Linked DNA regions of Cricetulus griseus. The main gene of each other region encodes a partner of the protein of the gene in region 3 in a complex. Links are inferred from orthologs where the notes say so. Each region holds a gene or a part of one and is shown on either strand. Other genes may lie near its edges.

Region 1 (2,612 bases), on a different chromosome or scaffold from region 3:
CCCATGCTTTGCATGATTGCCATGGTACAGCATTGTTTCAAACTGTTCACTGTGATCTGTGGGTCTTTGAGTTTCAGTGAGTTTGCTGAAATGTCGAAGAAATATTTCCAAACTTCAATGTTCAATGAAATTTTTGTTCAAGTTTGAAATGGAGAGAGCAGCTTTAAAAGGTACTAAGCCTTTTACAAATTGGTGAGTACTGGCACATGAGACCTAGAGCAGCAGGGTCAACTTCTCACACATAGTCAGTGGGAAAAGAAAGTGCCTTGAAAAAGTTCCTCCCTCACCTACACAGTAGTCGTCATGTCGAGACCTGCCAGAGAGAGACACATTCTCAAGTGAATCCTGGCTTCTTGGAAGCGCTTGCCTAGACGAGACACAGTGCATTAAAACAACTTTTGGGGGACAGGTATGTTTTTCTTGCAGCTGCAGTTGTAAGGTCTTGGCAAGACAAGCAGTGTGGCCAGAATTTTGAACTTCTGATGAGTGTGATGCAAAGGACCTTGTACATTTTTCTTAAAGGTCCTCAAAAATGAGCACATGAAGAGGTTGCTGTGAAACTTTTAAGTGGCCCTACTGCGCAGAAGCACTCAGATGTCACTTGATGATCTGTAAGGGGACTTTGCCAATTTGGGAATGTGCTAAGGAGAATACACATTCCCTTGATAGGCTGTCAATGGGCGGGTGATAACTTAATACAGCTGACATGTGCTTTTTTTTTCTTTTTTCTGCCCCCACCCTCTTTTTTTTCCTACCTCAATGGTATTCCTACAGGAAATGGATAACCATTTTAACTGTATTTTTTGCAGCCCGTACCTTCTTGGGAATACAATTGTCTAACTTTTTATTTTTGGTCTGGCTGTTGTGGTGTGCAAAACTCCGTACATTGCTATTTTGCCACACTGCAACACCTTACAGATGTGGAAGATGTGAAATTTGTCATCAATTATGACTACCCTAACTCCTCAGAGGATTATATTCATCGAATTGGAAGAACTGCTCGCAGTACCAAAACGGGCACAGCATACACTTTCTTTACACCTAATAACATAAAGCAAGTGAGCGACCTTATCTCTGTGCTTCGGGAGGCTAATCAAGCAATTAATCCCAAATTGCTTCAGTTGGTCGAAGACAGAGGTTCAGGTAAGAGATCTTACAGGTAGTTGGGGTCACCTCATTGTCTACAAAGTCTTTTTTAAGTGGGATTGGTGGGGTAAGTAGTTTATGTTGAAACCTAAGATCTGAAAGAACACTTCGGCTGCCATGAGTAGAGCTACCTAACTCTAGCACATTTATGCCATAGATTTGATACATTCTCGCTTGCTTTCTTGACAGGTCGTTCCAGGGGTAGAGGAGGCATGAAGGATGATCGTCGTGACAGATACTCTGCGGGCAAAAGGGGTGGATTTAATACCTTTAGAGACAGGGAAAATTATGACAGAGGTTACTCTAGTCTGCTTAAGAGAGATTTTGGGGCTAAAACTCAGAATGGTGTTTACAGTGCTGCAAATTACACCAATGGGAGCTTTGGAAGTAATTTTGTATCTGCTGGTATTCAGACCAGTTTTAGGACTGGTAATCCAACAGGGACTTACCAGAACGGTTATGATAGCACTCAGCAATATGGAAGTAATGTTGCAAATATGCACAATGGTATGAACCAACAGGCATATGCATATCCTGCTACCGCAGCTGCTGCGCCTATGATTGGCTATCCAATGCCAACAGGGTATTCTCAATAAGACTTTAGAAGTATATGTAAATGTCTGTTTTTCATAATTGCTCTTTATATTGTGTGTTATCAGACAAGATAGTTATTTAAGAAACATGGGAAATGCAGAAATGACTGCAGTGCAGCAGTGATTATGGTGCACTTTTTTCGCTATTTAAGTTGGATATTTCTCTACATTCCTGAAACAATTTTTAGGTTTTTTTTGTACTAGAAAATGCAGGCAGTGTTTTCACAAAAGTAACTGTACAGTGATTTCAAATACAATAAATGAAGGCAATGCATGGCCTTCCAATAAAAGATATTTGAAGACTGAATTAAGTGGAAATTGTACTTTATTTTACATATATGATGTCATGTAAAACTTGGCTTAGATAGTATGTTTCGGGGGGATTTTCTTTCATTTTGGTGTTTTCTTTTTACACAAAAACTAAAGTTGACTACTTGCCATTCTTTGATTTAGGATTTAGGAGGTGAGAGAATCAAGAAGGCCCTTAAGATGATCTATCTCTAAGAATTGAGGGGCAGTGGGTTTTTTTTATAAATTTGTTAGTAGCTTTCAGCATCAGGGATAACATGGTGACTGTTCTATTTTGCAAAAAGTGCTGGCATACTTTATTCTGGACCAAAATGCACAAAGTTGAAAGACTGTTAGCCCAAGAACTGTGCGCTGTGTCCTTGGTGCAGCTTACACACAAAGTAATCTAGTCATCACCCATTCACCAGGGTTCCTAGAGCCACACTGGCAGTCAGGAATGTCTCCACATTGTTTCAGGGCATTTTAAAGGTCTTCAGATTGTAGGCTAGTCAGTACTCCCAACACAAGGAAGAAAACCTCAAAATTAACCAATAGTCATGCAACATAATCACAAGCACAGTTTTA
Region 2 (2,661 bases), on a different chromosome or scaffold from region 3:
CAGCTCAGGAGAAGGCAAGGTAAGAATTCCATAGTTAGCAAAAGGGATAACTTGAAGGTGTGTTCAACAGACCATATTTGACCTAACTTAACTCTCTTAGGCCAAAGATGCAGGACAGAGAACCACCATTTACAAACGAGACCCCTCTAAACAATACGGCCTGAAAATGAAAACTTCACGTGCCTTTTTCAGTGAGGTGGAAAGGCGTTTTGATGCCATGCCATTTACTTTAAGGTACTGCATATAGCAAGAACAGGACTGGGAACCAGTCTGACTCAGTGTGTACACCCAGAAGCATCCTCCCTTCCCTTGGCCCTCCCTCCCTCCCCCTCTCTCTCCTGCCCAGACTTGTAGCTCTTGCCTGAATGCATGTCCTCTGTCCTGCCCATCTCCTTACTGGATATAATATACAAGAGCAACCCCAGACAGTTTCTGCATGAGGATAGAGGTGATTTAAGAGCATGCTTGACTAAGTGTGGTGGCAAATGCTTGTGATGCAACACTCCAGAGGCTGAGGCAGAAGAGTTTTAAGTTAGCCTGAGCTGCACTAAGCAAGAAATTGAAAACAACAGGACCAGTTGCTTGTGCAGTCGCAGGTCAAGAGCTGTGCAAGACCCAAGTTCAGCCCGTGAAACCTATGCAGTAGTAGAAGGGTAAACCAACTTCAAAAGTTGTCCTCTGGCCTGCACACCCATGCCCTGCCCTCCAGCCCCTATCATACCTGCAGTCACACTAATAAAAATAAGTCTTAACAATATGGGGTCATTAAGGAGACCTGAATGTTGTCTCTTCCCAGAGCATTTGAAGATGAGAAGAAGGCTCGAATGGGTGTAGTAGAGTGTGCCAAACATGAGTTACTACAGCCATTTAATGTTCTCTATGAGAAGGAGGGTGAGTCCTAAGAAGGGTTTCATTTTAGAGTCCCCTCCCTTTAACTTCAGAAAAAAAGTGTGACTGGGACTTGTTTTCCCGTAGGTGAATTTGTTGCCCAGTTTAAATTTACAGTCCTACTCATGCCCAATGGCCCCATGCGGATAACCAGTGGTCCCTTTGAGCCTGACCTCTACAAGTCTGACATGGAAGTCCAGGATGCAGAGCTAAAGGTTAGTGTTGGGTAGGAAATGGTGAACATGGGGCACCTAGGTACCTGTGAAAGTCCCGAAAGGAATTGCAAAGCAGGAGAAATGCTTTATCTATCCCACGTTTCTCAGGGTTTGCCTTCTTCCTGTCTTCTAGGCTCTTCTCCAGAGTTCTGCAAGTCGAAAAACCCAGAAAAAGAAGAAAAAGAAGGTGTGTGATGATCTGGTGGGAATCTTTCTGATAGTGGTGGGGAATGAGCCCACCCTTCTCTGCTTCAGGATAGATACTTTGGGAGTTAGTGCCAAAGAAGTTGGGAATTGATGTCTTGTTTTGGAATGTAGGCCTCCAAGACTGCAGAGAATGCCACCAGTGGAGAAACATTAGAAGAGAATGAAGCTGGGGACTGAGGTGGGTCCCGTATCCCCAGCTTGCCATTCCTGCCTCATCCCCTTCCCACCGCACCCCAGGCTCTGTGAAGTGCAGTTCGTCTTCTCCACCCAAGACCACCAGCAGAGTGAGCGGGGTCTTCTGCCCCACCCAGTTCCCACACACATTCGCCCACCCACTCTTTCCAACAAAAAACCAGCTCCAACTGACTCTGGTCTTGGGAGGCCAGGCTTCCCGGCCAGCCACTGAAGACTACTTTCAGTAGAAAAAGAAATTGAATAATAAAATCAGGAGTCAAAACCCATCGTCTTCAAGCCCCCTCTTTCTGGCCTTTTCTACTCTGCTTGGTCAAGGTTTGTGGCTCTACAACAGAACAAAGGAGGCTAAGTTAGCCACCACCACTAAAACCTCAGCTGAAACTTTTTATGTCACTGATGTCATTTTTCTCATTCTTTTGGGGGCTTTTCTGTTTCCCACTGTCACTGGGTATTTAATCTGCCTTCAAGGAGGAGGACCGGTTGTATTTTTTACTCACCTGTGGCAGATCCTTCATGATAAAGGGTACCTGGTTAGACCCTTCCCATTTTAGATACTGAAGTCTCCATTAAAAGATTCTTATCTCTCATTAGTCATTTTTGTTCTTCAGTTTTCAGTTGTAAAGCAGTCGTCATCCCCACCATGTTGTTGGTTTTGTTCCTTCCGTCTCCCCTCTCCCGAAAACCAGTGGGTTTTCCTCAGGGTCCACCTTAGAACCTACATTGAAAATCCCACTGTGAGTTTTTTGTTCCAGATTTGATTTTTTTTTTCTTCTTCCTATTTTTTTGGTTTGAGACAGAGTCTCACTATGTAGCTCTGGCTATCCTGGAACTATGTAGCCCAGGCTGGCCTCAAACTTGGAGATCCACTTGCCTCTGCTTCATGAGCACTGGAACCAAAGGCGTGCGCCACCACGCCCGCTTCCTGTTTGAAATATTTTGAGTTCCCTCCCAAGAAAGAAAAACCAGGAACCAGAGGAGTAGACTGAAGAGAACTGACTTTCAGATTGTGGACTTGGATGGCTCCTGGGGATTTGTAGAGAAAAGGTTACAATTTGTACCTCTGGCATGCTGTCCCAGGGAACCAAGGCTCCCACTAACTTAAGCGGTTTTTGAATTGACATGGCATTAAAATAAATTTGGATTTGCTTATAATGTA
Region 3 (3,901 bases):
CTATTTTAGTGAATCTCTTGTCATATCTCTAAGAGGTCATTCTTTAATTTGCTCTTTTGCTCTTTTCATCCAGTCCCCCTTCCTTCTGTTTGAATGCTCCAGTTGCCTGGGTGATAAGTCTGAAAGGGCTGTAATGACATCACTCCTGTTTAAGATCCGTAAAAGGTGCTATATATATAGATATGTATGTATATATATATATATATATTCCCCTCTCCACACCCAGCATCAGAACGGTAAAGTCCCAATGTCTTAAGGTTTGGGGGAGGCACATGTCACACAGTGTTGTGAATACTGAATCATCATGCTTGTGAACCAGAGAAGAGTCTAGCCTCCTATTAAATCAGACCCTCAGGATCTCATCTCTTTTTGACAGCCCTGTCCTTTGCTTTTTGTCCCCTTCCATTTCGTGCTCCATTAAACATTTTTATAAACTGTTTCTGGATCCCTGAACAGGATCAGAATAGTTTGTGTCAATTAACCATTCTGCCTCCAATTGATAACACTTCATCAATCAGTCCTTCCTTTATTTTATCTGTTTGCACTTTCCTTTGGTAAAGGCATACAGTTCTCCTGTAGGACTGTAAGCCCTTTCTGGACTCATTGATTCTTACATGTCAGAATGAGTACTAGACCTGACATCTAAAGCATGCTTGCATATGTAAAGTCCCATTAATGTTTTCAATGTTTTTTTTCCCATTTATCTCTTAGGCATTAATAGTTCTGTATTTTACTGATTTGCATGCATTGTTTATATTCTTGGGATATTAATGGACTTGTATCTTATGAATTTTGTCTTTTGATTTAAAGAAATTTTTGATTTTTATATAATGAGATATAGTTATATTTTATTTATTTTTAATTTTAATTTTCTCTATGATGTTAATGCATTGGGCCAGTGCAGAAAATTTAAAATATTCAAAAAATGTCTTAATATTTTCCATGTATATGTTCATGGAAACAAGTCCTATTGTACTGCTACCCAGAAATAATCATTATTAATTATACCTGATACATAATAGAAATGGAATGAGTAATTGTTAAGTGAGTGAATTAAGTTTTATGCAGTCTTTTTGTTAATGTGGCTATCTTTTTAAAAAGTAACTGATGTGAACTTCTATAATAATAGTTTTCTTTGTTTCTCTTATTGTGTATAATTTTTCATGACAATAGTTTTCTAATTTTTTTAAAGCCACATTGAAATTGCGTTGAGCCAAGCTTGCCACCAAGAGCCCAACAGTCACCATGATGCTGAGCACAGAGGGCAGGGAGGGGTTCGTGGTGAAGGTCAGGGGCCTACCCTGGTCCTGCTCAGCTGAGGAAGTGATGCGCTTCTTCTCTGATTGCAAAATCCAAAATGGTACATCAGGTGTTCGTTTCATCTACACCAGAGAAGGCAGACCAAGTGGTGAAGCATTTGTCGAACTTGAATCTGAAGATGAAGTAAAATTGGCTTTAAAGAAAGACAGAGAAACCATGGGACACAGATATGTTGAAGTATTCAAGTCCAACAGTGTTGAAATGGATTGGGTGTTAAAGCATACAGGTCCAAATAGTCCTGATACTGCCAATGATGGTTTTGTACGGCTTAGAGGACTCCCATTTGGCTGTAGCAAGGAAGAAATTGTTCAGTTCTTTTCAGGGTTGGAAATTGTGCCAAATGGGATGACACTGCCAGTGGACTTTCAGGGGAGAAGCACAGGGGAGGCTTTCGTGCAGTTTGCTTCACAGGAGATAGCTGAAAAGGCCTTAAAGAAACACAAGGAAAGAATAGGGCACAGGTACATTGAAATCTTCAAGAGTAGCAGAGCTGAAGTCCGAACTCACTATGATCCCCCTCGAAAGCTTATGACTATGCAGCGCCCGGGTCCTTATGATAGGCCAGGGGCTGGAAGAGGGTATAATAGCATTGGTAGAGGAGCTGGATTTGAAAGAATGAGGCGGGGTGCCTATGGTGGAGGCTATGGAGGCTATGATGACTATGGAGGCTATAATGACGGGTATGGCTTTGGGTCTGATAGATTTGGGAGAGACCTAAACTACTGTTTCTCAGGAATGTCTGATCATAGATATGGAGATGGTGGGTCCAGTTTCCAGAGCACCACAGGGCACTGTGTACACATGAGGGGGTTACCATACAGAGCCACTGAGAATGATATTTACAATTTTTTCTCACCTCTTAATCCCATGAGAGTACACATTGAAATAGGACCCGATGGCAGAGTTACAGGTGAGGCAGATGTCGAGTTTGCTACTCATGAAGATGCTGTGGCAGCTATGGCAAAAGATAAAGCTAATATGCAGCATAGATATGTGGAGCTCTTCTTGAATTCTACTGCAGGGACAAGTGGAGGAGCTTACGATCATAGCTACGTAGAACTGTTTTTGAATTCTACAGCAGGGGCAAGCGGTGGTGCTTATGGCAGCCAGATGATGGGAGGGATGGGTTTATCTAACCAGTCTAGTTATGGAGGTCCTGCCAGCCAGCAGCTGAGTGGTGGTTATGGTGGTGGTTATGGTGGTCAGAGCAGTATGAGTGGATATGACCAAGTTCTTCAGGAAAACTCAAGTGACTATCAGTCAAACCTTGCTTAGGGAAAGAAGGAACACCAAACAGCTCCAGGAATAAAAGCTGTGCATTTATAGGAACTGGATAGAGTAGGAAGGATACCAAGCATATCCAGTATGATTGGTAAATGGGAAATAAAGTTGCTTCTGATCACTATCGGTCAGCTTTCTTTCTTTTTTTTTTCTCCTTTTTTTAAGAACAAAATTTAAGTTTAACAGTTTTGCATTACAAGCTTGTGATTCATGCTTACTGTAAAGTAAAAGTTAAGATTGTTTTCAAACTTTAAGCTCAGCAGTTTTGAACACTGAAATATTCATCTAGGATGTAATAACAAGTTCAGTATTGACCATAACTGTTAAATCCACTTTCAGCTTTCCTCAAGTTAGTTATGTTGTAGGAGTGTACTTAAGCAGTAAGCATATTTAGGTTTAAAGCAGTTTCACTTACGTTAAATGTTGCTCTTATACCACAATACATCAAAGCCTTCAGATGCATGTTGAGAAACATGCTTTTCTGTAAAAATCAAATATAGGAGCTGTGTCTATGATTCAAAGTGACAACATTTGGCATGTTTGTTAATTCTAGCTTTTTGGTTTAATATCCTGTAAGGCACGTGAGTGTACACTTTCACTTTTTTTTTTTTTAAAAAGATCTGGGATAATTTTGAGATGTAGTACCAATACTTTAGGAGTTTGGTCATGTTGTTTGTATGGAATTCTGAGGCTTTGATTTAAATCTTACCTTGTATTGTGAATTCCATTTAGATGTATTGTACTAAGTGAAACTTGTTAAATAAATCTTCCTTTTAAAAACTGGACAAATCTTGTATAGTTTGATTTTTCTTAAATCATGTTCTGTTACATGGGCACATGGTAACTAACTTTTTAAAAGTTCTCTGCAGTGGGAATGCAAATTTTCAGTTTCCTTTTTTTTGAGACAAGGTCTCTAATATTCCAGGCTGTGAATGACCTTTAAATTCTGCTCCTCCTGCCTCTACCTCCTAAGTATTGGAATTTCAGTCATGTGGCACTGTTTCCAGTTTATGCCTTGGTGGGGAGCAAACCCACACCTTCTTGCATGCAAGACAGCCACTATACCAACAGGGCGACATCCAAAGCCTAAATTTGGATTTATTTATTTATTTATTTGTTTTGTGTGTGTGTGTGTGTGTGTGTGTGTGTGTGTGTGTTCAAATGAATGTGTACACACATGTAAATGAGTGTTGGTAGAAGCCAGAGAAAAACATTGGGTACCCTGTTCTATTGCTCTCTGCCATATTGTCCTGATAACAGGTCTCTCACTGAGCCTGCAGCTAGGCTGGCAGTCAGTAAG
Region 4 (4,253 bases), on a different chromosome or scaffold from region 3:
GTCTTTAATCCCAGCACTCAGAAGGCCGAGGCAGGCAGATCTTTGTGAGTTCATGGCCAGCCTGGTCTACAGATCAAGTTCCAGGACAGCCAGAGCTACACAGAAAAACCCTGTCTTGAAAAACAAAACAAAAAGAAAGGAAATTAAAAACTAAAAGTAATAGTGCAGAAAACACCCTTAAAATCGGTGGGGGTCTGATTTAGCTCATTTATTTTGAGTCAGGGTCTCTGTAGCTCTGGCTGGCCTTGAACTAAAAGGTTCTGTTTACCACAATGATGGGATTTAAAGGCGTGCCACCACCTCTGGCTATTGTTTGTTTGTTTGAGGTAGGGTTTCTGGCTTTGAAGGCTGTCCTGGAACTAGCTCGTGTAGACCAGGCTGGTCTCGAACTCAGAGATCCGCCTGCCCCTGCCTCCCAAGTGCTGGGATTAAAGGCATGCGCTTGCCTCTTCTGGCTATTTTATGTTTACTTTGAATATGAAAGGCTCTGGTTTTAGCCTGAAGAGGGCGGTCGATGTCTTTAATCCCCCAGCACCCAGGAGGCAGAGGCAGGTGGATCTGAAATCCAGGCCAGCCTGGTCTAAGGAGTGAGATCCAAGACAGTCAGGGAAAGATAGAGAAATCCTGTGTGAAAAATACAAAAATAATAACTACAAAAGGCTTTGGCTTTATTTTTCCCAATTTTTTAATTTAAAGGGTTTCCCGGGGCCGGAGAGATGGCTCAGTGACTTAGGTTCAATTCCAAGCACTCATAACTGTCTGTAATTTCAGTTCCAGGGAACCCAGTACCCATGTCAAAATATCAATGCACAAAAAATAAATTTAAAAAAAAATCTAAAGGGTTTCCCTACATGGCCCCGGCTGATCTAGAACTGTGTATCACAGACTAGCATAGAATCCTCCTGCCTCAGTTTCCGGACTGACGAAATTGAGGCCACAAGTCACCAAGTTCAGCTTGGTTTTGCTTTTATTCCAGTTCGAATTCATTAACAAGACTGAAAACCTGCATGATTTCACACATAAGGCCCTAAATTCCATTCCCGTGATTACAAAGGAGTTAAAAGTCGTAGTATCCAATATAAATATCCTGATTTCAAACAATGTGAGATGCAACCGTTGTCTCTAGTAGTTACAGTCCTCGCATCTATTTTATTATTTTTTTTCTTTCCCCATCCTTTGAAAGGAGGAAGAGAAAAAACTGAAGGCGCGGTTGGTTCGCAGAGGTGTGGAGGGTTCCTAACTGCCTACAAAACGCAGCCCACCAAAAAAACGCAGGTTCGTAGAAGCACAGGACACAGCTCCGCCCACGCTCTTAAACCAATCACCTGCAACTCCGCCGGCTCCGAAGATGCCCAGGTTTCCGGAGCAACAGCTCAGCGTCATCTGGCTCCGCCCCCCGGCGCCTTTCCCGCCAAAGGCCGTTACCGCCGCGGAGCATGGTGGGACACGGTTGTGGGCTGTTGTCACCAAATCCTTTCAAAGCGCCGAGTGGCTTTTAAAAGAGGGTTCTCTCCTGAGGGGAGACATACTATCCTTGACTCAGCCGGGACCAACAACCCCCTTTCACCAGCGTACACCGTTTTCAACCACACGTCTGGCCGCCTCGCTGAACCAGGCGTTCCACCAGCAGCAGGACGCGAGGGACTTTTTCCCCTCCGTGCGGAGGGTGACGTAGCGCGTGCGCGAGCGTGCCTCTCAGCACCCGTTACGCTCGTGCGCGTGCGTACTGGGGACGGAATAGCCGCTTCCTCTGGCTTCCCTTCCTCCCCCTCCCCCCCATATCAGTGCGCCGGGCTGATAAAGGCGCCATTTTGGACGGGCCGCGGGAGACGTGGTGCCGCTGAGGGCTCGCTCTGCCGTACGCTAGGCTTGGTGGGAAGGCCTCTTCTCGAGTCCGCGCTTTTTTTTTTTCCCTCGCCGCCATGTCAGGAGGTGGTGTGATTCGGGGCCCGGCAGGCAACAACGACTGCCGCATCTACGTGGGTAACCTACCTCCAGACATCCGAACCAAGGACATTGAGGACGTGTTTTACAAATACGGCGCTATCCGCGACATCGACCTGAAGAACCGCCGCGGGGGACCGCCCTTCGCCTTCGTTGAGTTCGAGGACCCGCGGTGAGGCAGCGTGGGGCTTGCGGCCTTGAGGAGATAGGCTGGAGTAGTTGGGGGAAGGCTCTGTCTGAGGCCTGGACATAATGGGGGGGGGAGGGAAGGAGGGGCTCCGAGGCTGGGAGCGAGGCGCTATCGCCCCTGCAGGAGTCGAGTAAAGGAGCCGAGTCGGCGTGTTGTCTCCGGTGGCTGGCCGCCTCGGACGTCCCCAGAGCCCATGCGCGGCCCGGGAGCGGGAAACTGAGGCGCCGAGGGCTGGCGTGGTGGTCGGGAGTCCGCCCGGCGTGTTTGTGGGTGGGGGAGGGGCCGCTCCTATTATGCAGCGCATGTGGGCTCCGGCGCCGTGGGTGCGCATGTGCGCCGTCCGCGGCTTCCCGAGTGGCTTGCGTGAGCCCGGCCGGCCGGCCGGCCGGCCGCTGTCCCTGGCCTCATCCCCTTTGCTTTCTGTGATCACGCAGAGACGCGGAAGATGCGGTGTACGGTCGCGACGGCTACGATTACGACGGCTACCGTCTGCGGGTAGAGTTTCCTCGAAGCGGCCGCGGCACCGGCCGAGGCGGCGGCGGGGGTGGAGGCGGCGGAGCTCCGAGAGGCCGCTATGGCCCGCCATCCAGGCGCTCTGAAAACAGAGTGGTTGTCTCTGGTGAGTTGACTCCGTGTGGGGTTTTAAGAAAATCCTTTTCCCGCGAGACTGGTTTGACAACTCCCAAGTTTTGGTGTTTGGTCTTATTTTTTGTTTTGCTTTGCTTTGCTTTTTTTTTTTTTTTTTTCCTTTTTTTTCCTTTTAAACTGCTTCGGTCTTGGGGGTGAATTTAGTAAACGAAGATTACTGTGGCGGTGATTTACCCAAATTAGGTTGCAGTGCTAGCCTATGAAGATCCTTTACAAATAAGTTTGGACTGTGGATCTCAGACTCTTACCAGCTCTTTACCTGGAAACACTTAAGTACAATCATTCAGTATTTTAAAATAATCCTTGTTCTGATGTACGTTGCACCAGTTTGATGTGGAACTGGGTGATTAGCATTAAGTAGGGGGAAATCACTTTTTCAGGACTGCCTCCGAGTGGAAGCTGGCAGGATTTAAAGGATCACATGCGTGAAGCAGGTGATGTATGTTATGCTGATGTTTACCGAGATGGCACTGGTGTCGTGGAGTTTGTACGGAAAGAAGATATGACGTATGCAGTTCGAAAACTGGATAACACTAAGTTTAGATCTCATGAGGTAGGTTATACATTTATTCTTTTATTTGGCCAGAATTGGATACAGTGTTCTTAACAGTGGAATTTGAAGGTAAGGATACAGGCAAAGGTGTCCAAGTAAATTACCAGAGACCTGGTCTGTCTGTCTTTGTATTCATTCAGCATGTCTGAAGACAGGTGAAAGCTTAGATCTTTCAATGGAAAGTTCTGTCTATCCAATAGGGAGAAACTGCCTACATCCGGGTTAAAGTTGATGGGCCCAGAAGTCCAAGTTATGGAAGATCTCGATCTCGAAGCCGTAGTCGTAGCAGAAGCCGTAGCAGAAGCAACAGCAGGAGTCGCAGTTACTCCCCAAGGAGAAGCAGAGGATCACCACGCTATTCTCCCCGTCATAGCAGATCTCGCTCTCGTACATAAGATGATTGGTGACACTTTTTGTAGAACCCATGTTGTATACAGTTTTCCTTTACTCAGTACAATCTTTTCATTTTTTTTAATTCAAGCTGTTTTGTTCAGAATGGGCTAAAGTGTTGAATTGCATTCTTGTGTAATATCCCCTTGCTCCTAACATCTACATTCCCCTCATGTCTTTGGTAAATTGTATTTTAAGTGATGTCATAGACAGGATTGTTTAAATTTAGTTAATTTCCATGCTCTTCAGACTGTGATATTGTGTAAATGTCTATTCTGCTCTGGTTTGTGTGAAATGGGATGTTGGGGGTGTTTGTGGTTATCTTACTTGGGGAAGTTCTTATGTTTATCTTGCTTTTCATGTGTCTTTCTGTAGACATATCTGAAGAGATGGATTAAGAATGCTTTGGATTAAGGATTGTGGAGCACATTTCAATCATTTTAGGATTGTCAAAAGGAGGATTGAGGAGGATCAGATCAATAATGGAGGCAATGGTATGACTCCAAGTGCTATTGTCACAGATGAAAT

The links.
Region 1: Hnrnph2 (region 3) and Ddx5 share a complex: the UniProt entries of both Homo sapiens proteins name them as parts of the ribonucleoprotein complex. The link is inferred for Cricetulus griseus from reciprocal best matches to the Homo sapiens genes HNRNPH2 and DDX5.
Region 2: Hnrnph2 (region 3) and Pa2g4 share a complex: the UniProt entries of both Homo sapiens proteins name them as parts of the ribonucleoprotein complex. The link is inferred for Cricetulus griseus from reciprocal best matches to the Homo sapiens genes HNRNPH2 and PA2G4.
Region 4: Hnrnph2 (region 3) and Srsf1 share a complex: the UniProt entries of both Homo sapiens proteins name them as parts of the ribonucleoprotein complex. The link is inferred for Cricetulus griseus from reciprocal best matches to the Homo sapiens genes HNRNPH2 and SRSF1.

What each region holds. Positions count from the first base shown.
Region 1 is NC_048600.1:119,726,918-119,729,529, reverse strand, and holds the end of Ddx5 (probable ATP-dependent RNA helicase DDX5), read left to right. Parts: exon of another isoform or gene 1-918; coding exon 919-1,143; intron 1,144-1,335; coding exon 1,336-1,742; 3' UTR 1,743-2,046; downstream 2,047-2,612. UniProt on the Homo sapiens protein: Involved in the alternative regulation of pre-mRNA splicing; its RNA helicase activity is necessary for increasing tau exon 10 inclusion and occurs in a RBM4-dependent manner. Binds to the tau pre-mRNA in the stem-loop region downstream of exon 10.
Region 2 is NW_023276806.1:129,347,044-129,349,704, forward strand, and holds the end of Pa2g4 (proliferation-associated protein 2G4), read left to right. Parts: coding exon 1-19; intron 20-100; coding exon 101-234; intron 235-796; coding exon 797-891; intron 892-975; coding exon 976-1,103; intron 1,104-1,236; coding exon 1,237-1,290; intron 1,291-1,421; coding exon 1,422-1,487; 3' UTR 1,488-2,099; downstream 2,100-2,661. UniProt on the Homo sapiens protein: May play a role in a ERBB3-regulated signal transduction pathway. Seems be involved in growth regulation. Acts a corepressor of the androgen receptor (AR) and is regulated by the ERBB3 ligand neuregulin-1/heregulin (HRG).
Region 3 is NC_048604.1:45,490,564-45,494,464, reverse strand, and holds the end of Hnrnph2 (heterogeneous nuclear ribonucleoprotein H2), read left to right. Parts: intron 1-73; 5' UTR 74-165; intron 166-226; exon of another isoform or gene 227-327; intron 328-1,192; 5' UTR 1,193-1,245; coding exon 1,246-2,595; 3' UTR 2,596-3,386; downstream 3,387-3,901. UniProt on the Homo sapiens protein: This protein is a component of the heterogeneous nuclear ribonucleoprotein (hnRNP) complexes which provide the substrate for the processing events that pre-mRNAs undergo before becoming functional, translatable mRNAs in the cytoplasm. Binds poly(RG).
Region 4 is NC_048600.1:101,233,253-101,237,505, forward strand, and holds the start of Srsf1 (serine/arginine-rich splicing factor 1), read left to right. Parts: upstream 1-1,453; 5' UTR 1,454-1,922; coding exon 1,923-2,116; intron 2,117-2,568; coding exon 2,569-2,753; intron 2,754-3,162; coding exon 3,163-3,335; intron 3,336-3,535; coding exon 3,536-3,730; 3' UTR 3,731-4,253. UniProt on the Homo sapiens protein: Plays a role in preventing exon skipping, ensuring the accuracy of splicing and regulating alternative splicing.